Linked DNA regions of Drosophila melanogaster. The protein of the gene in region 1 interacts with the protein of each later gene in a pairwise test. Each region holds a gene or a part of one and is shown on either strand. Other genes may lie near its edges.

Region 1 (7,692 bases):
CCGTATTGATTTGCATTGATCCGAAAACGCAAAAAAAACCCTTTCGATTATACACCGCAAATCAAAGACAAGAACATCTCTCTAAATCCAAATTAACATTCTCTTACAGACCTGCTAATCCTTCGCTACATATTGGCACATTTCCGTTCTTGCCCGTGCAGTTTTTCTGAACCCAACAGATACAAGAACTACAAGCAGAACAAGCAAATCGAAAAATCACATCAACATGAACATCACAGAAACTTTGTACACTTGAGTTCATAAGATTAGAGGAAGGCGTAGGAGGAGTATTTACAAAATGGACAAAATGAACTTTACGATATATACCACATACAAAACATATACATAACAAATATATTTATACATATATTTTTGCGTGCAAGGATTAACGTTTAATGATGATGAGGCTGGATCAACAAATCGAAAACCATACTTTCGCGTTGGCTATAAAACACAGACGAAACTGTGTCCAGTTTTTTATCTCTATTTACAAACCATCTTAAAGATACTAAAGAGCCTGAATGATTAGTGGGAGCTGTATTCGGTCGGGAGTGATCAGTAGTTAAGCACACGGCTCAGCTCAAAGTTGAGCTGGGATAGTCTGGCGTACAGATGATACAGAGCGAATCCAGTTGATACAGCAAGACAAAGCTATGTATAGGGAAAGAAGGACCCGACTGACGGTCGGTAGAGACAGAATCTATGAGATTAATTAACTTAATAGAATATAATAATAAATACAGAGGGCACACTTAAACCATAATTTTATTTATATATGCATATATTTAACAAAACTAACGATACAGATAAAGAATATATATATATACACTTACAAATTCTAATATTTACATAATTAACAGAGATCGACTAACCCCATGTTGACACGAAAGGTAACAGAATAACCCTAACAAAAATTATCTAATACTCGAGCATTCAGAATTAATATATCGAATACTAAAGAACTACAAATAACTAACAAATTACAAAATATATACAAGTTTATTGTGAAACAATGTCCATAAGTGGATAGTGCTGCAAATGATTACTTTATTAAAACACCAGATACGAAAACAATAACAGAGTAAAAAAGAATACTTAAACGCAAGCGTAAGCGTATGAATAACAAATACTCCATTTACTTATACACGAATATAAAGTTCTAACTAAACCAACAATGTAACTCAATACAAAATTAACGTAATAACAATGTAATTCAATGTACTTAACACATTTAACCCATGACGCTGGATAAAGCAAAGTAATTAACCCAAAATTTCGTTTCCTCAATTGTTCAAAAATGAGTCGTCTGCTTTGTCCAGTTGTCTCCATTAATTATACACTGAACTAACAAAAGTAACAAAACTAAACATAACTCGTAATCGACAATTTGATCCGTTGCCAAAACTCAAAATTTCGTTTCCTGTTTTCTCACTTTAGTTAGTTTTTAGATTAATGAGAATTCTCTGTAGAGCTTAAGTAGAACCAAGAGAGTGTGCCAAATGTTTGTAGGAAGGGATTCGGAGGGAGTGGATGGCAATGGACGGATCCCTTCCCGGTCTGAAATTACCAATTGAAATGCCAATTTATAGATATTATCATTTTTAATATTTATGTAACCTAATTTGAGTATCGAGCGAATAAAGTTGGCATTGCTAACGCAATGAAATAAACATATACTCGAATTCGAATAAGAAGATGAATAAAACGATATCTTGTCCAAAAACCTTAAGAAACATTTACTTACATACAACCATGTGAAACGTTAAATTGTTAAAAACAATTAAAATCTAGTTTTAATGAAATATCAGTAATACAGATAATACAAAGGAATTACAACCATTTATTACAAATAATTATCGTTGTTACAAATTATACAGATAACTAATATGAAATTATAACAAATGCTACTTTAGGGCGATTCCCCAAGCCCCCAGATAATTTATGATACCAAGTTAATGAAATAACCGAACAACAAAAACACCCCGCCCTAACAACAATAAGAATATATACACTTATATGATATACATACCTACAAAATGAATTCAAAGAAATAATATATGGCGATTGAGTTATTCTCATTAATTATTATATGTAAAATTAAATAACACAAGTAATAACTAAATGAATAAATAAATATATTTAAAATGTATCGAAAATCGATGTAGTAGAGTGTTTTTTTATTCCCAGCTAGGATGGAACCCCCCAATCTTAATTAAAACCTCTTCCTTTATGTTTTACTTTCAATATACATAATTTATTTCGTTGTTGCTTATGTGTTTTATATTGCTTTACAATAATTGACTAGAGTAAATAGCTTAGGAATACCCAGATCCCTGTGTTGCATAATTTCCACCCCCGGAAAGTTCGCAACCCTTGGTTTCTCTCTCTCGTTTTACTTGCAATGAGATCGCAGCAAAGTGACTAGAATGAGGAGGAGTTCCTGCCCTCCGGTTTGCTCTCAGGCGTGCAGAAGTCCATCGCTTTGCCCAACCAATTTCCCAAGGAGAGTCTGGTAGAGTGGCGACTCCGTGGGTATTCCCTCGCTCTGCAGAAACAGCAATGTTTCTCTGGCACACATGGCAAAACCCAGTGCCTCCGCCTGACTCCTTTGGGCTGGCGTCGGTGGCGCAAACTGGGCCGCCACCTCGGCATCCTCGTCACTTTCCTCAACATCCTCCGCTTCAGCTCCGGCAGCCGCATAGCCATCTCGATCGTTTAGATCCTGCTCAAAGGCATCCAGCTCCGCTTGCAGCTCCATTATTTTTTGCAGCGCTTCCAGAAGGATTCGATTGGGGGCATCTGGCGGGTTGGGGCAATTCTGCCCTGGCTCTTCTGCTGGTGGAGTTAGAGGACGATGGCGTTTCTCCGGAACCGCTTCAGTCGGTTGCTGCTCCTGTTGCTGTTCCTGCGGCTGGACACGTTGCTCCTGCGCCTGCTGCTGCTCCTCCTGGCTGGCTCGCTTGCGCTTCATGATCAGTTTGCCCGACATGCTTAGAGGATGATCTACTAGACTTAAGCTGCAATCGTTTGGTTTTCCAACTCGCTCCTGCGCGACACAACCTTCGTTCACCTGGCGATCGCCACGACTGAGCTGCGACCAACTGCACCCCGGCGACCAACTGGCAACTGCCGACTCCAACCCCAAAATGCGGCAGGGACCAGAGATAGTGGCATTAGGGGATGTGCCGCGCCAAGGAAATTAAAAACAACAATCCATCGGCAACCAAAAAAAAAAAAATTGTTGCAGCTGTTTGAGTTGCGGCAGCTGAAGCGGGAGGGCAACAGGATACTGGCTACAGGCCACAGCCTGAACGGCAGCAGCAGGATATTGCAACCCTCAGCTGGCGCTGCCTCTCTCTCTACCTCTCTCTCTCTCTCTCTCTATCTCTCTCTCTCTCTCTCTTTCTCTGCCGCTGCAGCAGCCGCGCTCCGAATATCCTCCCTTCCTCCGTGCATCCGTCCTGCACCCCATCCCCCCGGGATCACAGGCGCGCCCTGCTCGTCCTTTCCGACCTTTCAGTTGTTGTTGTCCCGTGTCCGTTTCCTTTCGGTGCGGCATAGCCGATTCCCAAGTTACCTTCCTATGTCCTTTTTTTTAATAGGGTTGCATTGAAGGGTGTGTGCGAAAATAAAGCATTTTAATCAAATTTTCTTTTTTTTACATTTTAAAGCAGACATAAATAAATTATCAATACCTTACAATCTTGGGTAATCAAGTTTTGAGCGTATAAATTTTCATGAATTTTTTTTGAATGTATAAGTTGTCAATTTAATGACGAATTAACTTAATTGCTACAAATAAACGAATCTGGACTTTTAATTCAGTTGATTTCAAATGAGTTTCGATCTGGTTTTAGCGAACAACGACCGATATATGTAATTGCTTAAATTGCTTTTCTTGGCAAAACGTGCACTGCTGACGCACTTAAAGAATAAGTTATTCAGGTTAGACAGTTAAGCTATTTAGGTAATATTTAACGTATCCGTTAAGCATTGTATTCTACCAATAAGCTACCTAAAATTTTGTTTGTGAACTTTGATCACTTGAACTTTGATCACGATGCTTCTTTACGAATATAGATTTTCGTATTTGCATACAAAATTCGTTTAATGTGCATATTTGTAGGAGATTCCCCAGTGCGGTATGCCCGACCATGATAAGCATTTGCAGCTGGCACGCTTCACATTCATCTCTTCGATCGGCACTTCCCCTGCGAGTTAGTTTGACCTGCCACTGCAATGATAAGTGCACACCTAAAAGCACTGCGAGAAATTTTCGAATTTCGTTGTCATGGAAATTGGTATGCGGTATGAGTTAGTTTGAACGAAATCACGTTTACCTCCGTTGGCATGGAGAACCAATTCTTATCGGCTTTATTGCCGATTGTTAACGTAGTAAAGGTGGAGTGGTCCCAAAATGCTAATCGATAATGCTGTCAAAATTTGGAATGAACATAATTCGCTTTATGGTTTATGTCCGCGCATTGTGTAATCATGACCATAATTTAAAATAAAGGGATTTATATTTTGGGTTTGTTGGAAGGGGGAAGGGGGGAGTGCTGAAATATAAGATGACACCATAAATGAAGAATCTCCTGTCCCAAGAAAAAAAAAAAGAAACAATCTCATTGATAGCAATAAATGTTTATTTATGGTCAAGGAAATTGGGCATTATTCGATTTATTTGGGGCTGCGAATTTGACACTATCTCAGCGAATTGTTGTTTCGCAATTTCGGAAGGGGCATTTAAATAATCACGCCCAGACGTCAAGTCTGTGAACTTATGATATGGATGGATTGGATATTTGCATTTAGTATGTCGGCAATGGTGTGTGTACACATTATTTACTTGATAAGCACTTGATGTTGTTAAGGGCGTATCAAAATTGAATCATATATATTATTTTTATCTCATTTTTATCGTACACTTGACATTGTGTAATATTGCGTGCTGGTTTTCCTCTCCCCATTTCAGTTAAACTTGGCCGAAGCATCTTCTATTTATTTTCGAACCAACTCAATTGCTGTTGTATCTTGTATCTTTCGGATATATTTAGGCGACATCTCGAGCAGGAAAGTTGTACCTTTCCCTTTCGTTTTTGAGTTATTTGCCCGAACACAGGCAGCAAATAGTAAATAGCAAATACATTATCCACAGCCGCAGCTGTCGTGTGTCTATTGAGCCATTATACATACTATATGATTGAACAGTTTGAGAAGCACGCGACAAGTGGCAGCGGATAATTTGGGGATGAACTGTGGCCCAAAACCCGGCAATTGTGATCATTTCGTGTGGGTAGAACTTCGCAGTAAACTCATAAAGTAATTTACGCGGCTGTTGAGTGAAATTCATCTTTCCAATATTTATCTATCCTTCCATTTTGGCGGCCATAAATCTGTGCAACAAGCAGGCCTCATTGTTCATCAATCGAATGTGCCTGAAAGTTCGCAGAAGACACTTGCTTGGAATTTTCGGGAAATTAATAACAAAGATCGGCTTACTCGGCACAATCGGCGGACTGTTGTTAATGGTGCGTCAATAAACATGTACAGTAAATACTCTAAATATAGGTAAGCAACCATGTTGCATATAATTTCGTGACAGTGAAAATGTTTTACTATGAAACAAAAGTGCAAATATTAATTACAGATATAGATATTCCAAAAATATCCTTTCGAATGCGTGATCTTTGATTCATGTGTTTAGATCACTTACAAGTAAATGCTGTTTGATGCTAGAGTTACGCCGAATGTAAATTCTCCGTAGCGAGCGTGCACTGTATATATTTTTTAGTACAATCCATATTTCGGCGTGGGAATGTCACGTTGTGTTTAGACAACTGTTGGGCCAACTACCTGCCTCTGTCTGAGTGGCTATGAGTCAGATAAATATATAGCCAATTCACCATTATCTGATCTATAACCGACGATTATCGCGCGATATGTCTGCTTCCGATGGCTTCCAAAACATCGAAATACAATGGGGTAATGCAGAAAGAGCATCGCATTGTCATTCTCAGCCAATTTAACCCGCAATCGCAATACGAGGCCTTATCGTAATCAGTCCGCTTCGCGAGGCAGTAAATTTCGGTTTTGCTGTTTAAGGTACTCGGCTTTATGTTTTCGGCTAATAACGGTTCTCGCACTCTCAGCCAATTTGGTGGGTCAGTCAGTTAGCCCGCGGACCGTGCGACGAGTGCATGTGAGTAGCGATCGTTGGTATTTGGTAATTCGTTGCTTCTGAAGTAACATCGATCGGGCCTTTTTGAGCCGAGTTAGCTTTTAGGCCAATGCCATGAGCAAGCTGAAGTTCGAGCTCGTTTCCGAGTTCAATCGAAAACCAGTTGACCGAGTGAAGTGGACCGCGATGGCAGAAATTTGTCGAGCAGAATGTGCTGGGGATTTGTGTGTTTTTTTTTTGCACACGCAAAGTGATAAGCGGCGATTAGATTTAAAACACCCAATAAACTATAAATTGCGATTTCTGCGCGCTCGTGATTGATAAATATTTGCCTCTCAGCAGTGGATTGGTGATAAGGTCGAAAAGGACCTTCAACAGTCTAAGTAGAAAATCTGGTTAACAACGTTTGAAGTGTTTCCATTACATGTGTAAAACCATTCGGATAAGAAAACGAACTAATACTTAAAACACGCTTCATTAAGTGGCAGTGCATTAATTTTTTATTAAAATTTTTAGATTTTCATGAGTGCAAAAACAATGATTATGACAAACCAGTTGCCGTGCGCGAATCAGTGCTTATTCACCGAAGATTATCCACCCACATTTCATCCCTTCGTGTGTGATAACTTATCAGCGATTGTTGTGTTTATTGTTCCAGCACCAAAATGTTACCTGCCCGTGGTCTCCTTATCGGATCATGCTGCCTACTGGCTCTACTGATTCATCCTGTGCAGCCGAATCCCATTGCACCCCGGGCGGAAGTTGCCGCCGAGTTCATCATTCTGCACAACAATGACATGCACGCCCGATTCGAGCAGACGAGTGTGACCAGTGGCACCTGCTCCAAGGAGGAGGCCAATACGGATCAGTGCTACGGAGGATTCGCCAGGGTGGCATACGAGTAAGTGCGGTCAGTTTGCCTAGAGTTCAACTATTCATGCTGATGAACTTCAACTAGGGTGCGAAAGTATCGCAAGGAGGCGGAGGAGGGTGGAACTCCAGTGTTTTATCTCAATGCAGGTGACACCTATACCGGAACTGCTTGGTTCACCGTCTATAAGGACAAGATCGCCAGTGCTTTCCTCAACAAGCTATCGCCAGATGCTATTGTAACTATTATTTTATTGTTTTCCGCATTCTCTTACTATATTTCATCAATATACCTTTCAATAGTCTCTGGGCAACCATGAGTTTGATCAGAATGTTGAGGGTTTGGTGCCCTTCCTAAATGCCGTGGAATTCCCTGTTTTGGCCTGTAATCTGAACCTCACCGATGTTCCGGAAATGGCGGCTGCCAAGCAGCTGGCCAACTCGACGATCCTCGAGAGAAATGGGGTGAAGGTTGGCGTTATCGGTTACCTTACGCCCGATACCAAGGTGCTTGCCTTTCGGAACAAAGTGGAGTACGAGGAGGAAATCGTGTCCATCAAGTGGGTATAGCTCAAATCCGCTGGAGAGCAAGGATGTTAATGCATGTTCATTTATTCCGCAGTGCGGAGGCCGCAAAGCTA
Region 2 (7,641 bases), on another chromosome or scaffold:
CCATAACCATGACCACAGAGCCACCCAAATCAAAGCCTCTGCTCCTCCCGATTCCCCTCATATATATTTTTTTTTTGTATGTTGCTATACGTTGTCCGAGCAAAATTATGACAGAGTCTAAGAGCTGCCCATTGGAGTAAAAGCCACCAATTTCCGGTTGGCTCTTGGTCTTTGCCTCGTTTTTTAGCTCGTTTAGATTTCTTCTCTACCTTTTGACCAACGCTTTGTGGGAATACGGATACGGATAGAAATGAATACTTAATTTGAGAGGAAAGTTAGACAAGCTTATTAAAGTTAGAATATGCACTGTCACCTGCAAGATGTGATAACTAAGAGTTATAGTAATAGATAGATAGACAAAAACTAAAGTAAAACGCAAACAAACACACAACTTAGTCTTGTATTTATAAGCTTAATCTAATGAGTATAACTTAAACATTAATTTATATATTCGCTCTCTTGAGTAATGGAGATGACCCCTTCCTGGCTTATGACCCTATATCCAAAAACCCCTACTTACGCTACCTTCCCCTGTGCCGCTGTGCCTCCTCAATCCTCAGTCTGTCTATAGCTTCAAAGATCCTGGCTCGACGATCCAGCTCCTTTTGCACAGCCATCTTGTTGCGTTCCCATTCCAATTTTTGTTCTTTTTTATATGCCTTCGAATTTTTCTCTGTTTCATTTAAAATTTTAGTATTATAATTGTTGTTCGACCAGGGACGTCGTGTCGATATGGGATGATCGTAAAGAGCTGTGTTATTCGCGGGGAAAAGACTGGGTTTTATAAAAATTGCCACATAGCCGGGCTTGGATATGATGCGATCCTTGGGGAAAATACTGAAAAATATGATTTACTTGAATTAATTATTTGTTGTAAGTAAAGATCAAGATCTTCGAATCCTCACCAAAAGAATCCCTGGTACATATCCTGCACCGAATGGTGACCCCACCAGCTGCCAAGGACCTGCAAAGGACACGATCGATTGCGACCCGCATACGAACTCAATACCTTGCCGACGGATACAAAAAGCAATTCCGTCGTGTTGGCCTCCACCAATTCGGCTTTTCGCATCATGAAGAGATCATTGAAGGCCGATATGACCACATCATCGTACAGATTATAGACCAACTTGTTGTCCTTATCCTGGCCAAGGATCAACATGGCAGTGCGCATGGAGTTCATGATATGAGCCAGTGCCAAAAAATTGATATTCATGTCCTTGTAGTCCGCAGTTAGATAGCCCAAGAACCAGTGACGCATGTGAACACGAACTGGTAGCTCTATCCGCGTCATTAGCAACCAAGGACCTCCCCATTTGTTTTTGAATGTGCACAAGATCTTGGTGGGCAAACCCCTATCTCGTTCGAGCCTAATGCCAAATACCTCATGTAGATCCATATCCTCGCTACATGTGGCCTCTGGGTAATCGAAGAATGCGGATGGGTGTGGTGTTACTGGCTCCCAAGATCTTGAGGAAAAACTTTGAGTGTTTGAATCTGATGGTTCTTTTCCGATTCCTGGTAGATCTGTAAACTTCTCCTTGGGGCTTTCCGTGTAAATTTCTACAGTTGTCTTTTCTTTGTCAATAGCAGTGGCCATCGTGGATTCTGTGGTGATTTCATTGGGCATTTCAGGTGTTTCATATGTTGTGGCCTTTGTTTTTTTCATTGTTGTGGATTTGATCTGTTTAGTAGTAGACCACGTCATCGTCTCAGCCGAATCACTTAAGTCCTTATCTTCCACGCTTGGTTTCTTAGTTTCGCTCTTCTCCCGCGAGTGATGCTCTGAACTCAACTCAAGTGTTTCCATTATCTTGTCCTTTTTAGAGTTATGTTTGGACTCCAGTGAATGCTCCAATGAGCTGACCTCCAGAGTATCTCCCTCGTCTGAATGTTCTACCGAGCTGATCTTCACATTGTCCCCCTCAACGGGCTCTCTTGCTGTACCATTGAATCCAAGTTGTGGCGCACTTATTCTAGATGGTCCATAGTTGTTGAAAATAAAGCTCATGTAGTACGTCTGGCCCAGGACAATCCACGGCAGAGTTGTCCACAGGCAGGAGGTCAGCATGGTTACGTTCTTCAGCATCACCGGAACCGAAGTGACGGTTCCTATATGGTAACTGGGTTCCCTATATGCCCTCGCTCTGTTGACTCGTGACTAATCTTGTTAAAAGTGATGAAGATACTTATTTTTAATGTGATGACTGATTTGCCTGATTGCCATTAGATTCGACTTGGATACTTTGCCGGTGGCACCTTTAATTGATGTCACAGTTAAAAAAAAAATAGTATGTAATTTAAGTAGAAGCATTTTAAATTCTATGATTTATAATAATAAATGAAATACCTACAAGAAAACTCCGATTTTTTATAAAAAATTGACATATTCAATCATAATCTGAACGGATCCTGTGATCCTGTGTTGTATACAGATCCTCAGATTTTGAATTCGGTTGACCAGAACTGTCTTTAATATAATAATAATAATAATAATAATAATAATAATAATAATAATAATAATAATAATAATAATAATAATATAATATAATAACCCATTCGACTTGGCCTTACAAGCTTTCTATTAATGCAATCGATATGAAAGTACGTTTGCATTTGATTCAATATGGTTCTATTTAATCCCTTAACTTAATCCCTCCACTTGCTACTCATTAAAAAAAGCAGTCTTGGTATTAAAATTTTATTGGCATTTTAATGATAAAATCAATTGAAGTGTCTGCGTTCTTCCAAAGTCCCTCGAGCGAACCTGTCTGCCAAAAGTAAGGGCAAGGACAAAGTTAGGGCAGATCGTTTTTTCTCACGACCAAGACACTTACGGTCAGATCTCCCGGTTGTGTTACATCTCCTCGTAGTCATCTTCCTTGGCTCCAGTTTCGGGTCCATCTGGCACGTTGCCTGCCCGTTGAGCAGGCGCTTCGCTGGCCACTTCCTTGGCATCCTGGTTCTCCTGACTGCTCTCACGGGCTCCATTGTCCCGCTGATTGGAGCCGGCATTGCTGCCGGAATGTCCGTGGCTCTCGCTGCTCTCGTAAATGGACCGCACGTACCGCCCGCCAAAGCTGTCGTCGATGCTGATCTCGTAGCTACTGTGATGGCTGTGATCGGTGCGCTTCCCCTCCTGTCCGGCCTCCTCTTCCTTATCTTGTCGATCCTTGGCATCCTTGCTGTCGCTGTCATCGTTGTCATCGTCATGACCATTCGCTGGCGTGGCATCATTGCCTCCGCTCGAGTCTTTGGAGTCGCTCTTGCCATCGCTACCACCGCCGCTTTCCTTCTTACCAATGGCATCGCCATCGGTAGCCAAACTATTATCAGCAGATGTAGCGTGGTCGTCATTGGGGTTATCCGTCGCAGCACTACCGTCACCTTCTTGTGAATGAGGCGAATCCCCGGTTCCACCGCCGGGACCAGCGGCACCACCACCAGCACCACCACCGCCACCATCGACGCCGGTGCCTCCTTCGCCATCCGGATTATTGTTGTTGAAGGCAAAGTTCATGTAGTACTTCTGGCCCAGAGCGCCATGCTCCGGCAGTTGGCCGAGGGCCAGCAGGACCAGGTAGCCAGTGAGTAGCCGCATCCGCATCCGCCACATCGCTGCAACGCTGAGCTGCCCGGGCTGTCCGACCGTCCCTTATATATAGAGATGACCGCCGTTGCCCGGAATCGAATCGATTTGACTGTGGCCGTGGCTGCTCTTGCCCATTAAAAAGGGGCAGTCCGATAAAGGCGTGTCCAAAGCAGTGCCGCAACAAGGGGGGCATATGCTGGGGAACTGAAAAAACAGTGGCAGTTGTTAGTCCATGTTGCTGCAGTGCAGCAGCTGAAGCAACAGCAGCAGCTGCTGCGGAAACAGGTTGGCCCCCTGTTGAAGAGAGCTACGTGGAATTCAATCAGGGCCAATCTATAATAGAAATCTCATGTGGCGCGAGCTTCGTTTTGCCCAAAGGGGAGTTTGCAGCAGCACCACCAGCAGCAGCAGCAGCAGCAGCAGCAGGGGGCGTGGCAGTGGATATCAGCTCGGCGAAGGAAAAGGAGAATGAGGAGAGTGGGAGGAAAATGAGGTGCCCACTCTCAGCCCACTTTCGATCGATCGTGCGTTGCAAATATGAAAATGCTACTGCAGCGAGTGCGGCAGCCAAGTCAGGCAGCTTTGGCTAAAATCGTTTTTCATTAACAATTTTAAAAGCCGCGCATTAATCACAAGTTCACAGACACACACACACTCATAAAGAATACAGAATGCAATACAGGATGCCCTGTGCCCACGACTTATCGTGGATAGCACAGTGGATCAAAATAACAAAAATAACAAAGTTATTTTGATAAATATGCATACATAAGTATAAGTACATGACTAATCGTATGATAGCCAATATCTGATATTCAGATGATGTACTGATTAATTTATTTTAGTATTTTAAACAATGTAAAGATTTTAGAAGTATATTTAAAAAGGGAATTAAATGATACAGTCTATTTTTCCAACCACTAACCACTGTGCAAGTGGCCATGGCCACCATAAATCTACCGACTCTTCCGTAGACACCCCACTAATTCTTCTCTTTGGCTCTCTTCTCGTTGCAGTCGTTTCGTGATCAGTCCATCGATGGCACTGGCCTGCCGCTCTTAACCGAGGATCACCTGGTTAACTCGCTGGGCATGAAGCTGGGGCCGGCTCTCAAGCTGCGCTCCATATTGGCGAAGAAATTGGGCGGGCCGTGTCCGTGTGTTGCATGCGTTGCGCAGGCGCAACAAATGCTGGCACTGCAAACGGGTGGGGCAGCAGCAGCAACGGGAGCAACAGCAGGAGCAGGAACGGTTACGGGAGCGGTAGCGGGAGCGGGAGCAACATCGGCCACAACTAGTTGCAGCATCAAGTCGGAGATCTTCAATGGCGGCAGCAACGGTAGCAGCAGCGGCAGCAGCAGCAACCAGGGCAGCGATGTTGCAGCTCCGCCGGCGGCAACAGCCAGCTCGCCCAGCAGCAACATGTTGCTGCCAGTGTTGCCGTGCAGCGGACTGCAGGACGCCAGCTAGTTAGCAGCGATCCTGTCCACATACGTATTTATGCTAACTAAATTGCATTTCACCTGCTAAAATGCTGAACCAAATGAGCTTTCAACACAATTAAGAAAGGAATAAGAGAATAAAAAATAGACAGGCAGACAGGCGCCTCGGATTGGGAGAGAAATACCTATTGTATAAATTAAACGATAAATTTGTAATTTAATGGCTAGCTAAAGTTGTAAACTTTAAGTGAGAAACAACAATAATCGCAAAGTCTTCCATTTGCAAACACACACACACACGAACACACAAATCATAATTGTATAACATTAATCAATTTATTAGTCAATTTAATGAGAGAGTTTTCGTTTACGTACTTAAGTGCAAAGCGCAAATTTGCATTCATTTTATTTATTTCTATGACTTTTTTCGTTTTTAACTGCTAGTCAGTAAATGTATATTTAATAGAATTCCGAAATATGTGAAGCAAACTTAAAAATTCAATTTTATTGTTTTGCAAATCGAAGTAAAAGGCTATTTATTTTAATATATATATCCTACGATACGGCAGACTTGTTGGACCCGCCCCCATTGCTTTGTTCAAATTTTATTAATTTATATTTACTTTATCTGCGGCCATGCACAGAGGAATTCAAAATTCAACTTTTAGAACTATGCATCCTTTTAAGAGCTCCAAGACTTGAAACCAACACACATACACAACACTATACACGAGTTAAAAAAAAAAATTACAAGAAACCACACGAAACAAGCAAATAGAAAACGTAGTTTATAGCTCCCATTGTACATATTGTTTATTTAATTAGTTGTAAGTCATTTAGAAAGAGAGACAGAAAAACATGTTCTAACACCTAGGCCGTATGCAATGATGAACTTAAAGAAACAGAAGCATATTTCTACAAAATAGGCATGATGAGAATGAACTTGATTTATTTTATACATTTAATGAACTATAGCTATTTTTCACAAGCTGAAGCAAATAAATTATACCAGTTATCATACAAACCCAAACGCAACTCTCACTGCAAGTTGGTTGAATGTTGCACAGTGCAGATCGGTGGGCGGCGAATGCCTCCAACTGGGGCGTTATGGGCACGCGGCTGACCTCCGGAGCGCTCGATGCGTCGCGGGTCAAGCGGAACCGTTGCGCCAAAAGGCAACCAAGGATGGCTGCAAAACAATTAAAAGCACGCAGCGCACCTTCCAGCGTCTAATTACAAATTGGAGTCATTGAATTTATTAAAATCGGCCGCGTAAATTGTGCAGCAATGCACTTGAGACACGCAAACTGATATTGTGGGCCATCGCCGGTTGGCGCTTCTTGGCTCTCATTACTCGGTCATAACTCACTGCGCCTGTCCGGTTGGTTCAAGTATCCCTAGCCACTTGAAAACCCATAAAGCCAAGTCGGCTTCCTCTTGCAGAAACATAATTGCTCGACTTCTGTTCAGCAAACTCCTTTTTTATGAAGATCTAAAGCGGTTTGTATACATACTCCGTTGGAAGTAAGTACTTCTAGTTACTAGAATATAGTTAGCACCAAGCGTTAACCTTTCGCGGCCCTTCATGCCTACTTAAATATGCAATACAAGTTACAGCTGTACATATGTATGTATATTAACCTTAAACTAGATCCATAATTCTGGATGGATGGTCAGTGCAATTTTTTGAAAAAGCCAAAATGAAGACACATCCCATTCATTGCCTAAATATGGAAATGAATTGTAAATAATTTATGTATGTTTCGATAACATTACTCCTGATACATTTTAGTAAAAGGTCCTTAGTAAAGACATTTAGTTAAAATTGGTTGGCTTGATGAAAATCGATATAAATATTTAGCTCAGAAATTGCGTGCATAAAAAAGTATTCAAAGGATATAAGTTATTTACCAGTTACCTCATAAGTGAGGAATAATTGTTTAAGCTGCCTGAAAAACCTAACACAAATTTTTTAAATAAAGAAAAATAAAAGCCTTTTAGAAATAACATGCCAAAAGTATGCAATGCATATCCAGGAAATCTAGTGATCCACCATCCACCAGTCAATCTAATGACACTATGGGAAACATTTCTTCGTAGATTTGCGGTTTTAATAGATAAAAATATACCAATACATTAACATATTTCACTTAAGGATACAGAATGAAACTCTTTGATAGTGACCATGAAGGGATTAAGAATGCGGCAATAGTTCCTCGTTTACGTAGCAACAGGAGCCGGAGCAGCTCCCTCCGGTTCGGCAGCCTTTTCTCCGTTGCCGTTCTGCGCCTTGGCTGCCGGCAGATCCTTGACTCCGGTGGAACCGAATCCTGCCTCGCCGCGCTCGGTGTCCTCCAGTTTGTCCACCATCACCAGTTGCGGATAGAAGATACGCTCGCAAATGAACTGGGCGATGCGGTCGCCATGCTTCACCTCGAAATCAACATCTGAGTGATTGAACAGGACGACGCCGAGATTGCCGCGATAATCCTCGTCCACCACACCGGCGCCCACATCAATGAAGTTCTTCACCGCCAGCCCGGATCGTGGGGCTACGCGTCCGTAGGAGCCCTCCGGAACCTGCACTTGCAGATCGGTCTTGACAATG
Region 3 (7,639 bases), on another chromosome or scaffold:
CTCGTTCACATCGCTGTGGAGGTAAAACTGGGCCCTCTGGATGTACTCGTACAGGCAGTGGCCCAGAAAGTTCAGCTTGCGCCGGCGCAGCTCGGCATCCTTATTGGCCGGCTGGCTGAGCCGATTGGTGGCCTTGTGGAACTCCAGGATGGCTTCCCGATTGGAGACTATGCTCTTGATTTGCTCCCAGCTGCAATTAAAGTTCCTCGCAATCTTACTGTACATGGGCACAATGTCGTACTGTCGGATGGCAGCCACACGCTCCTCCAAAGTCAGCACGTTCCGTATGCGATGCGATCCATTCGAGTTTTTGTGGGTGTCATCATTCTGAAATTGAATCATGGTTTATTTCTTTATAAAATCCGATTTCTAGGCTTAGTTACATGTATGTTATTGATACAGAACTCAAATTATCTGTATGCGTGTATATCATGAATGCCTTATACATATTTATGTATGTATATTTACAAAACATGCCCTCTTCTTATTCGCAAATGGGTCTCGCATATTTTAGCTCAGAGATAACAAATTTCAAAAGATTTTACTAAAACGAAGCATTGCACTCTCACTTACTCACTACGAAAGTATACTTACGTCAGAGTACATTTCCACTCCCGCTCTCACACTTTCAGGTTCTCCACTCTCTCTTAGCGTGCTCGCACTCCCAGTCTGGCCCCCCCTCCTCACGTGACCAATATAATTCTGTTCCTTTAACAATGAAATTAAAACGAAATAGTTATTATACAGAGAAGAGCTAGAAATCTTGTTTACATACCTCAGTCGGAAAGCTTAGAGCATAAAGTACACTTTGTTGAAAATATACAGCAGTTTTTTAGGCACATTAAACAGAAAATATGTGCGGTCGCACGTGTTTAAAGTTGCCAGAGCGAGTGCAACTCAATGACTGAGCATGCGGTCCGAACATTGCAGAGATCTGGACTCTCCTCCGTTTGGCGGAGCGGCAAAAACCGTATCTTTGCGAGAGACATTCCGCTCTTTCTCTCGCGATCTAAACCGACTTCCCACGTTCCGATTCCGATCGTGGTGGTATTCGTTCGCGGTATGGGATTTATTTTCGGATCGAGAGTAAATATTCTCTCGCTAAAGCAGCTATAACTGGTTTAACATGCCGAAAAACACAAATCGCATTACCACCTAATCTGAGCTGAAACTGGTTTGATATGTACACATACATATATATAAAGCTATTTTTGCTCAAATTATATCTAGTGCTTAATTTAACGTTTACCACATTTAAGTGGGACCCTGTTGGTTATTCCACTCTATAAACTCTTTTCGCATATTACAATTATTTACACATTTTGGGTCTTGACTCTCAAAGGCAGGACACACGAACATTTTAATTGTAGATTACATATAAAAACTAAACTTTATTTTTGTGGCGTCAATAAGATCATAGATCGAAATCCTCGTTCTGAGGCGGATTTAAAACTGATTTTTCAACTTCAGTAAGTAGTCCAATGGCCCGATAGTTATCATTTAACATGGCGTACTCCTGTAAGACCTTCACGTAGGCCAAGGCCATATTTTTACAGTCGATGGATTTCAGTGAATTTTGTAAGGAAGCGACTACTTTGGGGTCCACATCGTCTTGACTGGTCTCATTTTCCTCCTGTCATTGAGTCATTTATCGTTACGTTAGTTCTATTACAGTCCAAGGACCTGTTTACTTACCTCAACTGCTGCCGTGTCGTGAGATTCAACAGTCTAAAAAAAAACATTCCAAAATTAAACACATTTTTCAGGTTGAAGAAACAACTAACCTCCTTGATCTCATCTTTTAAGGTCGTTTCCTTTTCCAATGACCCAATTTCCTCTTCATCGGTAAATTCACCATGCTAAGAAAATTAATAATAAGTGCTAATGTTACTGTTGATCTACTTGTACACACCCACCTCTATCTCTATTTTAATTATAGCTTCTTCAGAATCCGTACGCACGCGTACTTCTAATTTTTTCGACTTCGCCTGCAATAATAGTATTAATTTATGTTGCGACTTTTCAATAGTGTCATACCATTATTGGCGTTTTGTTGGCTTTCTTATTTCCTGCCGCTTTTGCTTTTTCATCATCAGACCATTTTTTACACACCTTACAAAGTTTGGATGGACGATTCTTAGTCAGCTTTCTTAGGTATTCACACCTCTTACAGCCACTTTTAATTAGACCGCTTTGTTGCTAGGATTAGTTTTATATTTACTAGCATTTAACTTATCCTTTATATGTTTGGCTATACTCACCAAGCTTACAGCTTCCTTCCACTTGTTGGTTTTTGCATTTAACATATTTCTAGGTTTCTAAAAAAGCATATCGAGTTCAGTCGAAATTCGATCAGAATTCGATGAGAGTTTTCATGAAAACATGGATGGATATTGGAAGCGCAATGAAAATATGTATAAGTTCTTTTGTAACGGTTCTTACATTGATCAGCTTTGGTTTCTCAGTAAGTTGCTCAGTTTTGTCCATCTTGGCCTCCGTCAGCTGGACCAGGCGATCCCGCCACCTGCGGCAGATTCTCTTGGTCTTGCGCTGTTCCTGCACCAGTGAGATTGAGCTGCCCACTTGGAACTCGCGCTGTGTGGGATCGGTCTTTGCCTGGATTTTGTTCCTCATCTCCACCATTTGCTCTATGTATTGTTTGACCTTGATGATTTCGGCATCCTGCAGGCCAATCAGAATGTCCCTGTACTTCCCAATAAGTCCTTTGAAACGTATCACTTGCATGGCAAGCATCATGGACTGCGCCTTGTAGGACGTACGCTTCGAGTTATTCTTCTCCTTCTGGATGACAGTGCGCAGCTGATCGAGCTCGCCATAGGTATCATTAAGGTAGCGGATGGCATTACGAAGATTTGACTCCGCTGTGGCAAAGGCGGTAGCATCCGGTGGACGAAATCCTGGCGGGGCAGGACCCAGTGCAAATAACCGGGACTGCAAGTTGTCCGATAAATTGGATTCCTTTTCCATAAATTTAACAAAACTTAGACTTCCACAATATGCTTTTTTGTAGACTTCAGATTGGTATTGCCCATCCGATGCATTTAGGGTTGCAATTTCGAAGTTATCGATAAAGTTTGCTTCATTTGATCAATATTGCATAATACTATAACTTTTTATTAACTGTATTACATGTTTTCACGATACTAGTTAATTCTTTTCAATTATGTTTGAATTTTCTATTTTGTGCAACCGAAGGTCTTTTCTTGAACCTTTAGTGTCATATTGGTGCTGCCAGATTTTTCGGTTTTTGTCAATTTCCAAGACGAACTTGCTTACAGATCGGCGTTGATCTCGGCAGGATTCACTTTGTTACTCTTCAAAATACTAATAAGATTTCAGAAATGTTGGTTTTTCTTGTGAAATTCCTTTAGATTGTTGTAACTATAGGTTTTAGAAAACGGTATTGCCACAGCGCAATATTTTAGCCAATACCCAAGCCAGATTTGTTTAGAACCAGATTCATTTTTCAGTGGTGTTAGCAAGTGCATGAACCATATTTAAATAAAGTAAATTAAAGTATATATATTATAAAATATTAAAATCTTAAATATAGAGGTATAAATTAGGTATGTGCCTTATCTTATCTTTGCTTTTCCAGTAGATTACGTGCTTGTTTATAAGGACACTACGTTTGATCCACCTCGAAGTCCTTGATCTGGGCTGGATATTGAATGGCGTGCTCCACCTGTATTAGCAGTCCTATGGCCCTGAAATTATCATGGATCATGGCGTACTCCTGGAGCGCTCTTAGGTGTCTCAATGCCTCTTCGTCGTTGCTGATGGAGATCTCGGCCGCAGACTCTGACAAATCATTAGTATTGGGTTCGGCGGCATTAAAGACTGTAAACTGTTCCCCATCCCGCTGCCGATCCGTTTGCACTTCGTAGTCCTTCTGGATCTTGATATCGACATCATCCAATGGCTGCTTTCGTTTGCGATACGTACGCATTTGGCGGGGAATAACTGTGCTGACAGTGGTGCCCATAGACAGCATCCTGCCTTTCTGGATACCGGTCTCCAAACTGACCACCGCTTCATCGAAATCATTGATGGAAAGTTCCTGCGGCGGTGGGACAGGGTCATCCTTTAGAATTTCGGACATCTCGTCGTAGAACTGCCAGTTTGGATGGAAATGCGGTACCTTCGCCAGGAGCTTGCTCCTTATGCTATAGTAGGTCTTCTTCAGGTTCCTAAATTTTCGATCCAGCTGAACTGCATCGATATCTGTCATTCCCTGGCTTTCAAGGGCAACGACCATTTCCCCCCAAATGTCCTTGATCTTTTTTTTCGGATCCCGAAAATCAGCTTGGCGTTCATTGTAAAGGGACAATAAAAGTCGGGTGTTGGATGTACACCACTTCCTTTCGTAAGCTGGCTTATTGTGAGTATATATATAGTTTTCTTCTTGAATTTATGTTTTTTACTCACACTTTGTATCCATTGTTTACAATAGCTATTCAGTTGATGACGAATAAGTTTTGTTTCCCAGGCTGCCAGTTCTTTCGGACGGCGTAAGAGAAAGGTATCATGATCCAAACATATGTGTTTCGATTTTTCTCTATCGATAACTATCGAAAAGGTTGCACGAAACAAAGATGGGAATAGGCTTTCGTTTTTTGAAAATGGATTTTTTGCCTAATCTATATCAATACTCGCTACCGAAGAGAACATTTATTTTATATAAATACTCATCTTAGCCTCATTTAATTGCCATTATGTAGTTTTTGAATTTAAAAATCTCGCAGTAAGGATTTAGTGAGTACTTGCCGCAGGTTGAGACCTCCCGCAACTTAATTATAGAAAGTTAATATTGAAATGGACCTACATACATTACAAATAAGCACATAACTATTACTGTGCTGCCATCTACCGGCAATGCGACTTTCATTTACAGACGCTAGATGTCGCCCAAACAGTTCGTCGATAGGGGCGCAGTAGTATAAATGTAAAATAACCGGGTACCGTATACTCGAGTATACACAGTAAAAAAAAGTTTAATAAACCAATATTGATTTTTGTAGTAATAAATTTGTTAAGCAAATTATATAAGATTATCAGTGATTTCTATTATAATCTTTTATAAACTAATCTGTAAGTTTTAGGTAAGAAAAAAGTTAGTCAAAAAGGCTAAGTCCTATCGTGGACTATCTATGCCCAATTTTCCGTATCAACCCAATCGAGCGTCTCCTAAATTTAATTTCCGCCACAAATAAAAAGGGAATTTACATATGCACAATTGGCACTTTTTTTCTAGAAACACCTGCGCACCGAGGTGGATGTGTGAAAAACTTGGTTAGAATATCTCGAGAAGCGCACTTCCGTTTTGGCCTAGATAATAACCGTGAAGGGCTAACTCGGTAGTTCGTAAAGCAGTCAGTAGTTACAACCCCGGCATGTGACTTTTAACAATGTTTTGGTAGGGGGTTCAGCGGAGCGCAACCTCGTTTAAGGTGTGTGGACCGTCCCTACAGACGACCCTTACAAATAAAGGCCTGAAACCAGAGCCAAATAATTGTTGCGCAACTAGGCGAAGCCAGCTCACTGATTTTCCCATGAAGAGTTGGACCAAAACGCGATCAGTGGGGCATGCAATGTGGGAAAATAGACTCTCGAATATGATTGACAATGGTTCGGGGCCGCTTTGGACCCTATATATTTTGACGGTCTGCCCATGGCAATGGCTTCATTATTTTGAACAGCTCCCACAGTAATAAGGCTTTCGGGCCGACTGGTTGAAAATTGCACTTCGTGCAGGCGGATTTCAAATTCATTTCGCTTAAATGTGTGGCGCTGCCTTTGGGCCACAAATCCCCAAGTCGCACCGTGGAAGCCAAGGTGAGATCGTTAAACAACTGACTGGTGAGTTGTTCTTTTATGGCTTACATCTCACCCAAGCACTGAAAATAATCGGAATATAACTAAAATCTACGACATGGCTATAAAATATGCAGCTTCTTTCAGGATACTCATTTTTCTCTGTGTAAGTCCTAAGCCAAATCCAAATTATCCGAGGTCCACAGTAGACCAGATCGGTTCACTGGGAGTTCAATGCTCGCGCGGGTCACGACTTTGCCTCCATCGAGCAGACATAAATCGGAGCAGCCAACAACTTGATGCGGGGACTTTGACAGACTGCTCGAGATCTGCGATTTCCTTGGGATTCGGATTGAGATCCGGACCGAGATCGGGATCGGGATCGAGATCGGGACTGTGACTGTATGCATTTTGGGCCCAGGCATTTCAATCAATTGACGGAAGTCAGCTTTTTCGCCAGCGAAATGATCATGATGTATGTTATTGGCCCCGAATCCAGAGCCTACCCATTTGCTATTTGTCAAATTTTCATTAGATGGCCATAAATTGAAATCATGCGGCATTTGTTTTTGGTCAGCACACAAATAAATTTCGCACTGCCGCACCGATTCTCACGATCTGAGGACGAAATGATTGGATTATAGATAGATGAGGGGTAAGGCACTAAAACTTTCTAGCTATTCACACCAGCTGGTCTCTCGATCGACGTTTTGGTTTTGGTCTTGGCCAATCGCCACCTGCACTTGGTAGTTTGGCAGATCGGCCAGAGGCCTTACACTCGAAGAAAAACGAGCCTGTGTGCGACGAGCCTCTGTAGAATCACTGTGAAATAGCCTCTCTCTCTCTATTGTAATATATGAGTAAAGAATGTCACATTTTCTTAGAGTGCATTAGTTGGTGCCGGAGCAGGATCTGAGATGCTAGACCTGGTCCCCACACGTTCGAGTATGTTGCTTGGCTAAAAGCGAATTCCAGTTGCAAGCCCATTTTTGGCACGATCGCTGAGCACAAACCTTTTTTGGGAAGAAGCCGCCGCCACAAGGAGCATTGATTTGGAGTTGCATTTGGTTTTGGTATCGGTTATTGGGTATTGGGTATTGGTACTGCCAATTGCCAGAAGGCGGCCAGAACGCACACGTGGATACGGAATGGGCATGGTTATGTGCCCGCTCTATGGAGCATGGGATGTTGCTGAGGCTGGGGGCTTTCGTGGGGCTGTGTGGCATGTGTTGGGGGGAGTGGCAAGGGGAATGCGGGCAGTGAGAGTTCGCAGGTGTGTGCTGCCGTATGTATGTATCTTTGGCTTGGCTCGGATCGGATCGTGATTGCTGGCAGTTCGGCTCTGACTTGGACTTGGATTTGGATTTGGACTTGGACGTCGGGTATCCAGCTGCGAGAACGCACCCACTTGGCCAGCACACACACTCACCCGCACACACACCCACAATCAGCGGGTCCAGACGAGGCCAGCGGCAAAGATCGTGTTCATGCGGTGGCTTTATGACCACCACACCGGGAAAATAGGGGGTATACAAATGCAGAGTTTTCTGTGGTCCGTTTCAAATCAATTGATTAATGGACATTTCACCAACAGACAAAAAAAAAAAACATATTTAAATAATAAATGCGTGTTGTATAAGTGTAATGTTCAAAGGTATTAAATGAATGTTTGACAAAAGTGTATAGCCAGCATAAGTGCATAGATTGGAATGGGATGTTTGAGATTGATATTCGCTTGCTGTATCTCAGAAAAGCACAGTGCCCGTGCTGATTGATTAATCATTGCCGGTAATTTGATTTTGTG
Region 4 (9,174 bases), on another chromosome or scaffold:
TATGTTAAGTTACTTTGCAGTCATAAAAAACTACAGTAGTATTTGTAAGCTTAACTTCAAAAATATTTATTAAATAATATAAATATTTATATATTATTATTTTGATAATTACCGTCGAAACAATTCTGAGAAACATTATAAAACTCATAAATATATTCATTCGCATAGTATTATTCTAAACTTATAAGCAACAGACGCAAAGAGTTTACGTCATATTTATTCATATGAATAGTTTCCTAATAGCTTGAAAAAAAATTGTTTATGCTTTATTTAACAATAAATACAGTGACTTACAAAAATTTTCGGATTCATTCTACTATTTTTTCATGACTGAATAGTTAGTTACCACGTAACACGTAAATCAACAGGTCTTCTTCCACTCAGATTTATTGGGCAAATCAGAACATTTATTAGCTTTTGATTACCACCAGCACACCCTTTTGATATAAATATTTCACTTCATTTCAGTTCACAGAACATGGTGGCAAGCTGGTGGGTCAGCAGCATTTCTATGGATATTGATGGATGGACCCCCTGGCAGCTGAAAAGCCGACTGAACTCAATCAAAGCGTGACAGAGAGTGCCAACTGCACGGGAATGGGATGAATGCTCAGGGACTCACGCTCCAATAAAGTAAGCATATTCATAGAAGGGCCAAGGGCTGCACTTCACTTAATACAATTTTAAACATGTTGTTTTCCCGCCCCATTTACCTGTGCCCAGTTCATCAGTTCGTTTACCTGATGCATTCATTCTCCCCGCCAGAGAGTCATAAGTTCTAACATAGAGCAAATCGTGACAGCTAGTCACTCAAGCGGACCCAGAAACGAGGGGACCCCCTTGAGCCACCAGAGGCATTTGTTATTAAAAAGGGTTAACTCCGCAGTGTTGGGTACATGCAAAATAAATCATTTTTCGGCATCCTCAACACTCGTGCAACATTTATGGTTATCTAAGCCAGTTGCAGTCCTGCTATAAAAAAGGAAGAAAACTTCCAAATTATGCACACTATCTGCGAAATCAACAACAGGAGAACCAGGAAGCCATCGAGATATAGGGGAAAAATCGAAATGGAAATTCCTTGGGATTAGCATAAGCGTGTTTGAAATGCTCTTTGTTAGCGCCGAAATGGAAAGAATGAAAATTTATTGTGAAAACAGCATTAAGTTAATGAAGCATAACATGGAATCTTGCAAGAACAAAACTTTTCGTGCTCTTTGTTGGGCATTTTGTTTGAGAGAAAAGGGATAGAATTCAAGCTGAAAAGAAGGTTTTTGGGGGCATTGGCATCCCTTTTATGTTTATGCTGTGTGGCCAAACTGTTGCTTTTAGGCATAACGAATATTTATGGCTTATCAATTTTGCAGGACACGTGCGAGAGGAAAAACAAAAGGGTCAGCGACTGCCAAACTCAAAGAAGCCCTTGGGACAACCAAAAATTCAATTAGCAGGCTGCCTAAGAAGATAGCCGCATTAATTGCTGGTAATAGGCAAAAAATTGCGCATACGCAGCATGGGCCCTGAAAGCGAGCATTTTGCATATCCACAGTTCAATGCTTTTGCCAGCAACATTTTAATTAAATTTCAACTCTGACTTTGTGTTTAGCATATTTTGGGTGCCACAACAACCCCGCCATTTCTCCCGCTACCTTCCGTTTGTCAACGGTTGTCCGGTTGCCAGGGAAAAACGCCATCCAAAGGACGAGAGGGGTGGGTGGGCGTGTAGTCAAAGGTATTACCTCCTGGCGTGTCAGAACAGCTTGTTTGTCCTGCTAATTAAAGTTGCGTAAAAGCAATGCCATTGTTGCTGCTCCCTGCAAATACCTTGTGCAAATCAAAGTGACGACCTCGGGCAGATCCAAAGGAGTGACTAGCATTGTTTAGCCACCTGTTCTTTTGGCCTGGCTAAATGGAGGGACTCTTGCCTGCGAACAGCACAACACTTTAATAATACTAATTGGTCGAGCTTCTTGGGAAAGTTTATTCTAATAGATTTGTAAGAGTTAATTACAAAGTGCTCTTGTGAGTGGAGAGCTGATTTAATAGAGGATTTCAATTGTAGCTCTTGAGTTGTGAGGTAGATTAACTGATTGCTTACCTTCTAATGGCTCGTTTGGTGCACTTAGAAAATAAATCTATATATTGCTGAAAATTATAAAATTAAATGATAACTTGAATTATTGCTTTACATGCTATTTTTGAATGCATATCTTCGATTCCTCGAATATTGTTTTCCAGTGTAACATTTCATTTAGAATGACTTCCTAGATTTCCTTACTGACAATCTGACGGATAATTCGTTGACATATTTGCACATTCATAATATTTGCATTGTGTTTGATATTTAAGGACAGATATTTTAATTAGAAAGGGATCAAATTTCGAAGTCGAAGGACGCTGCACTTGAGTGACATTGATACACAATTTTCCAAAATGCTAACCAGACATGTGCACACATTTAAAGCTGCTGTCTCCTCGATCTTGACAGTGCGATTTTCTTTATTGACTGGCACAATTTCCCCAGTTCATAATCAATTATGTCCCATGGCCTCAATAAATGGAAATATTCCCAGAAGAGCTTCGACTGCCAGGTAGCGTGTCAATTAAATGGTCATAAACAAGAGTGACGCCGTTCGACAGACAAAAATTTAAATAAAAATTGGAAAATGAAAAGTCAACACGCTCGACTCAACAGCGGAAACGAAAGCGAGCCCATGTCTCACTATCGATGAGCATCGATGTCTGCGTATACGTAATTTTTCAGTTGACATTCGTTTCCTGACTTTTTCTCAACTATTTATAGCCGAAGTCTGCTTTGTTGGGTAACTTCACTTGTGGTGGCTGCCGGTCTTCTTTATTGTCACCCAGCCATTTGCAGCCATTATTTAAATGGCCCAAATGAAAGAGGAGCAGCTGCGTCTGCGAAAGCCTCCGTTTTGGGCGACGGGCTGTGGATGATATCCCATTTCGAGGAACTCCCGAAAAGGTCGGGACCATATCGTTAGACTCAACTTTAAGTCCCAGCTGCCTAAGGATACTCAAAAATGGCATCCAATTGGCTTTAGATTGGGATTATGAATATAATAGCAAACGATTTGCCTGATGGCTTATAGATGGCAAAACTTTATTCCAAACAGTGATTGCAGTCTAAAGATATTATTAACTATTTTGTAGTTGTTTGTAGAGCAACAAAAAAATTCGGATGTATTTTAATGCAATATGGCTAGCTTTTTACGAATAAAAGAAATAATTTACATGAAATTGTAAAGCAGGTTTATAAATACTAGCACGCACCAATTAATAATAAATGTTTTTTATATGTTTCCTTTGTCTCATCCAATCGTGCACAGAAAATAAATCAGGAAACTTTGGTGACGAACGCCAGTATTCGCAAACTATCCAACATATATTGCACTAAAATGCATGTTTTTCTTGTTTTATCTTATATACATTTTGACTGTATGAGGCCAAACTCAGATTAGGATTTAAAGTACACCTACCTCCTCCCTGGAGGACTTAAGATCGGATGAGTAAATGGATTTGGATTACAAACGCTTCACATCTTGTCTCTGTGTATTCTGATATCCGCTTTCATCCGGACCGAGTGTGGCCCACTTCAAGCGAGTGGCATGCAAATAGGATCGGACCCAGAACGCCCTATTCTTGGCCTGCTCTTTTGGGTCTGGGCCCAGTTCCTTATCTGCCGCGCCCATCTGGGCCTGCCACTCGACGCCGACGTTGTCTAGAGTTGGATTCCCGGAGCGGGGTGCTCGGATGCAGTAGGAATAGGAGTAGGACTGGGCGTCTGGGTAGGAATGGTGCAGGATGAAGCCGGCTGCATGTCTGCAGCGTTTGGCTTAACAAGTGATAAACTTGTCGCTTGTCCGCTCCAAGTCCTTGGACATTTTATTATTCCCGCCTCTGCAGCGAGTGCCCTGTGGAAGCCATTACCCCATTCTCCATTCTCCATTCTCCAGTCACCAGCCCCCAGTCGCCAGCCTCCATTTCGATTCCCCAAGACCCCAACTTGCAACAAGACGCTGCAAATAGTTAAGTACAAATTGCATGGCTAATTTGAGCTGTTGCATAAGGCTTAAGAGCTCTCACGCACACAGACCCCACTTCACATCGTGTTGACAAGTTGACCGTAGAATTAGACGGAGAAGGTGTGAAGTGACAGAAGATTTGGCATGAGTAATGACCGTTGCGAGCTGTGCCCATGAAGTAGGCAGGTTTATTAGCAACTGTCGGAAAATAATTTCCACAAGCACTGAAAATTTGCGGGTTGCTTCCATATAATTCAGAACAGTACCGAGAGTCAAGGAACTCAAGTCCGCCCAGAGTTAACGGCTTAAACAAGACTACAATGTGTACTACCTGGAATTGGTAAATGGCTTCACATGGCCAAATGTACACTTACAAATATAACGTAATTCTACCCTTTTATCCATGCAAACTCAAATTAGCTCACAATATAAACTTTCTATCCCAAAAACTTTTTCGCGACAAAAATTGTCAGAGAGCAGTAGAAAATGAAACAAATAAAACGGAAAACTAAGTAGCTACATTTTGGTTCATACTAACGGAAATTCTGTTTAGAATGTAATCCCGAAAAATGTGTTCACAAAGTGAAGGGAAAAGTTGGTGTGGAGTTATATAGTTATATAGATATAGTTTTGGATTAGTATAAACTTGCAGATGGTCAGAAATGTATCTGATTAAAATCAAAACACAATTTAAAGTACCTGTTAAGCAAGGTAAAGCGAAAAAGTAGCTTGAATATTTATTTTGATTTCTTATATCTACTCCAATTTTAAAACCACATATGTATCTATTAGCGTATCTATTATTTCCAGCTCCTTGAGCGCGCTAATGCGATAAGTATACACGGCAACCACTGGGCCACAATTAACGCAGTTCGAAATAGTTTCACAAATAAAGACAACTAGCACTGATTCCCACACTTAAGTTTCCGTTGTACCCATAACCCAATTCGAGACTTAAGCCCCACTAATTATGATTTATTCCACATGTGGCCAACACCCCCGACCTCAGACCCAAAAAAAAAGCCCATTGAGGCAATTGAAACTCACCAAATGCAAGTGTTTGTTTAGACTTATTTACAGCAGCATTTGTATGCAGCTCGGGAGCGACTTTAACTTCATTTTAATGGTTATATTCACCGACATCGGCCGCTCGTTCGGACTCGGATTGTTGATGTTGTTTTACCTGTTACCGTTCTACAAACGATACGAGCACACAAACACAATCACTGCACTTTGGGGAAGATTTTCCAGAAATATTTTTACAAAACTCCGCGGTACTTTGGCCAAACAATTGGGCTTAAACCAACACAAGCAAATGGGGTTTGTTGCGGCAGGCGAATTTCGACAAAATAATGCTTTACACCTTTACACAACGGACTAATTTAGCATTTGCCTAATGGGGCGCAATGAGGCTTTGTTTTCGATTGGTTTTTTCTCTTTTTTTTTTCAGTGGGCCTGGCCAAAAAATGAATTCAAAAATCGAGCGGGTCGGCAGCCGAACGCGTTGAAACTCGTTTTTAGACTGAGTGGTGAGCTTTATGTTCGCAGTTAGTTACCCGCGCGAAAGCATCGCGAGTTCGATTCGAACATGTTGCCTTGCCTCCGTTCAGTTTTTCTCCTTCCTAACCAGGTGAAAATATAATTTTTAACACAGGCGTATGAGTGATATTCAAATTCGATGTAAAATACTGAACTGTGTAAAGAAATCCTTATTTAAATATCTCATTAATAAGAAATATTTAATGGATATATTTCATTTAAAATTATTTAGCATTGTTCTTAATTCTCACGTCTTTTAGTTTCCAAGACATCCTGTTCTAAGACTCTCTGTCGAAAGATTTACACGGAACTAAATTTCCCTCTGTTATTAGTTTGCTATTTACATACCTAACAAAAACTTTCACATTTTTTAAATCGACAAAATTCATCATCACATGATATTATTAATACTTGATTTGATTTATAAATAATCAAAACATGGTCAATTCTAACCTCTATCATATTTGCATATCAGCTGTTCTAGAAGAGCTCACAACCTAACTATTCACAATTCCGAATCTGGTCACGAAAATGACCGCAGAGGCAGAAGCAAGGGTTCGAGAAGTAGGATTGTTGTTTATCTAATAAAAATAAGTTTAGCCAGAACTCAAAAGTAAAACTCTAAATCTCAATTTTAAGGGAATTGTTATTTTATACTTTAAGAAGAATTTAAGCCCAAGATTGTTGGACTCAAACACCAGCTTGTTCGAATCGAACTTCAACATGCCAGCCCAGAATCGAACATGCTGGCAGGTTGCAATCAAACTATCTATCTATCTAACATATATCTATCGGTTGATCTATCTATCTATCTATCTTTATATCTATCTGTATATCTATCTATCTGTCTATCTATCTATCTATTTATATATCTATCTATCTATATATATCTATCTATTTACCTATCTATCTATCCATCTATCTATCTATCTATCTACCTATCTATCTACCTATCTATCTATCTATCTATCTATCTTACCATCTATCTATCTATCTATCTACCTATCTATCTAACCATCTATATATCTATCTATATATCTATCTATCTATATTATATATTCATCATCCACTCGGCGAATAAAACAAACGACACTGAGCTGCAGTCACAAATGAACTTCGTTCTTCTACCGGCAAGATGCCGTAGAATATGGCCAGAAAATAAAACGGAGCGCGTCCAGTTGGACAAGCACTCACCTTGTTAAAACCGAATCCAAAACCCAGCTGCCTTTACCTGCCAGCCGTGCCGTTTTAAAGTCGCATGATTAAGCAATAAATTCACACCAGGGCAAGAAAACGCAAGGCTTCTAGTTGCAGTCGCAATACCGAAAGAAAAACTGTGCAACTAACTATTTGGCAACATTTTAGGTAAACAAGTAGAAGTGCATTTTCAGCCACAGTTTACTCAAAACTTGAGGACACTTACCAAATTATATTTCATTTGTATAGCATCGAGAAATTTTATATATAAAATTTTTACATCGATTGTATGCAGTTTTCAGGTGTATCTACTACTCCAACTTTGGCGAAGATTTCCTCAGGCTAACGGTGTTTTGTTATTTATAGTAAATGTTACCTTTTGCTCCACTGCTTTCGGCCAGGTTTTCTATTTGTATTTACAATTGATTTGCATTTGTGTAACACTGTTTCCTCCATCGAGGAGCGGAAGCCAGCATCGAAAGAGCGACGGAGAAAGGTGTAAATATTGTGATTATGGTTGAGATTGAGATGTAGGTAAATAATATGGCCATCGGTGTGGGTTCAACAGGTGCCTCAGGACAGGCGATAGTAGTAGTAATAGTAGTAGTAGTAGTTGCAAGATGCAAAAAGAAACATAATCCACTTGAGCGGAGGAGGACTTTGATGCAATCGGTGTTAGAAAAGAACTGCAAGCCAGGAAGTGGGGATAATAACAGGTATATCGTCTTGTGAGGTGACGAAACCCAATCTTGTAGCCAATGAACCCAAGTTTCTATTGAGTTTTCCTGTCTAACCTCATATTAAGTCACAATGTTAGTAGAAAAGTAAATAGATTAGAAGTATCTTCCTTATGGATAAGACTATCTTCCATTCAGCTTAAAACAGGCTTTGCACACTCGGAACGCTCCATTTGAGAACGCTGCTTTAGCCATCTGTACTCGTCGCAATATTTACATTCTAAATGACTTCATTGGCAAGTCAAACAGATTAAATCTCTATTAGTTTTTAAGTGAGCCCCGCCAACGGCGCTCGGCTGGCGTCAATGGACCCCGTCAAGCCGAAGAAGTCGAGAAACCGATCCCGAACCCAGGTCCAAACCCGACCCTGACCCCAAGGCGAGTTTTGGGCACGCCAGTAATGACGACGACGCATTGTTTCCACCGCCGATCTTGGCCATGTCGCTGAGTCCACTTAATTTCCTTTCGGTCTTCTGGCCCTGTGCTGATGATGACTTAATCGGTGATCGGAGTTTTGGCTTCGGTGGGCGTTATAATGATTTATTATGCCGATTGACCACGCACTGTAACAACAATCTTACTAAGACCGACCGAAGTGAAAACCAGAATCGCCAACTCAAGTGGGATTCATTGGGATTGATATACTCTTGTGAAGTGAGCGTACATGAAAGTGGTTTGATAATAGCTCTTGAGCTATTTATGGATTTTATAGCTGTGAATGTGGTTGGTCTGTGTGGATGTGGATATATCATACAAACCATTTGTAGACCCAACCATTCATTTAAAATCGTTGCCAGCTAAGAATTTGTTTAGCAACAAGTTGTCTTCTTAAACGAACATAAACATCCAAGGATTCCCTGGGCAGAATCCAAAAGGTCTGCCATCGGGAACGAGCCGTGAAAACCAGTTGACTGAGATGCAGATTCCCGCTGTCCCACTGCTTTACATTTCTCACTCAAGCCTGTGGTTGGGTGGGTGGCAGGATGGGTGGCCGGATGGGTGGCTGGCTGGGTGGCTAGATGGGGGTGGGAGGATGAGGTGGAACTGTCAGGTGTCCTTGGCTGCGTACCGGCAGCCGGATGATATATCACAAACGCAGACGGGCGGCAGGTGTACGCCGCATCACCCTCGTCATCTTTCTCATTAAGAGGCAGCCAGTCGTTTATTTATGCACTTGACTTGCGTGGCGACTTGGGCGGGCCGGGTCGTTTCGGGGCGAAAGGGGCGTGGCAGCCGGGTGGCTGGATGGAAAAAGACAGGCCAAGAGCCCTAATGAGCATATCATATTTCACACATGTCCGCTCGGCTGCTTAAGCCCATCGTCACCTTTCTGGGCGCCCATTTAACTTTGAGTGCAATCTGAAATTGTTTCTCGAGTGCACTTGTTGTGGAAAAGGGGCGGTGGGGGGGAGGGGCTTTGAAGGGGACCACCCTTCCCGAAAAAGATGATATCCAAAACTGCCAAATGGCCCGGGCATGGACGAGATTATTAACCCGCCAGGAGTCATTTAATATGCCCACCTAACGGCAGCTAAACATGCTCAACTGTCACTCCTCAGAGTCCTGACTATGAGCTCGAAATGCCGTCATAAAACTTCACAAGCATCTGGAAAGTAAAACTTTATAACATGCATTAGCTGTGGTCCTGACTGCTT

Evidence for each region.
Region 2: the proteins of insb (region 1) and Acp32CD interact in a two-hybrid assay, tested with the Drosophila melanogaster proteins (one large-scale study listed by BioGRID).
Region 3: the proteins of insb (region 1) and CG13896 interact in a two-hybrid assay, tested with the Drosophila melanogaster proteins (one large-scale study listed by BioGRID).
Region 4: the proteins of insb (region 1) and CG43861 interact in a two-hybrid assay, tested with the Drosophila melanogaster proteins (one large-scale study listed by BioGRID).

Annotation. Positions count from the first base shown.
Region 1 is NT_033778.4:17,472,978-17,480,669, forward strand, and holds insb (insensible), read right to left. Parts: upstream 3,296-7,692; 5' UTR 2,990-3,295; coding exon 2,459-2,989; 3' UTR 2,237-2,458; downstream 1-2,236. Other genes in the region: veil, read left to right, coding at 6,847-7,082, 7,140-7,290, 7,355-7,611, 7,674-7,692.
Region 2 is NT_033779.5:11,011,620-11,019,260, reverse strand, and holds Acp32CD (accessory gland protein 32CD), read right to left. Parts: upstream 3,642-7,641; 5' UTR 3,617-3,641; coding exon 2,858-3,616; 3' UTR 2,838-2,857; intron 2,772-2,837; 3' UTR 2,690-2,771; downstream 1-2,689. Other genes in the region: CG14913 (uncharacterized protein), read right to left, coding at 522-837, 906-2,089; Samuel (SAM-motif ubiquitously expressed punctatedly localized protein), read left to right, coding at 4,609-5,061; dUTPase (deoxyuridine triphosphatase), read right to left, coding at 7,254-7,641. UniProt on the Drosophila melanogaster protein: Responsible for physiological and behavioral changes in mated female flies.
Region 3 is NT_037436.4:707,296-714,934, forward strand, and holds CG13896 (uncharacterized protein), read right to left. Parts: upstream 4,556-7,639; 5' UTR 4,463-4,555; coding exon 4,450-4,462; exon of another isoform or gene 4,393-4,449; coding exon 3,647-4,392; 3' UTR 3,525-3,646; downstream 1-3,524. Other genes in the region: CG13895 (uncharacterized protein), read right to left, coding at 1-327, 384-404, 595-606; CkIIalpha-i3 (CKII-alpha subunit interactor-3), read right to left, coding at 1,415-1,633, 1,696-1,728, 1,785-1,859, 1,917-1,988, 2,038-2,199, 2,262-2,318, 2,443-2,952, 3,015-3,062.
Region 4 is NT_033779.5:20,011,727-20,020,900, forward strand, and holds the start of CG43861 (uncharacterized protein), read right to left. Parts: upstream 5,557-9,174; 5' UTR 5,094-5,556; intron 1-5,093.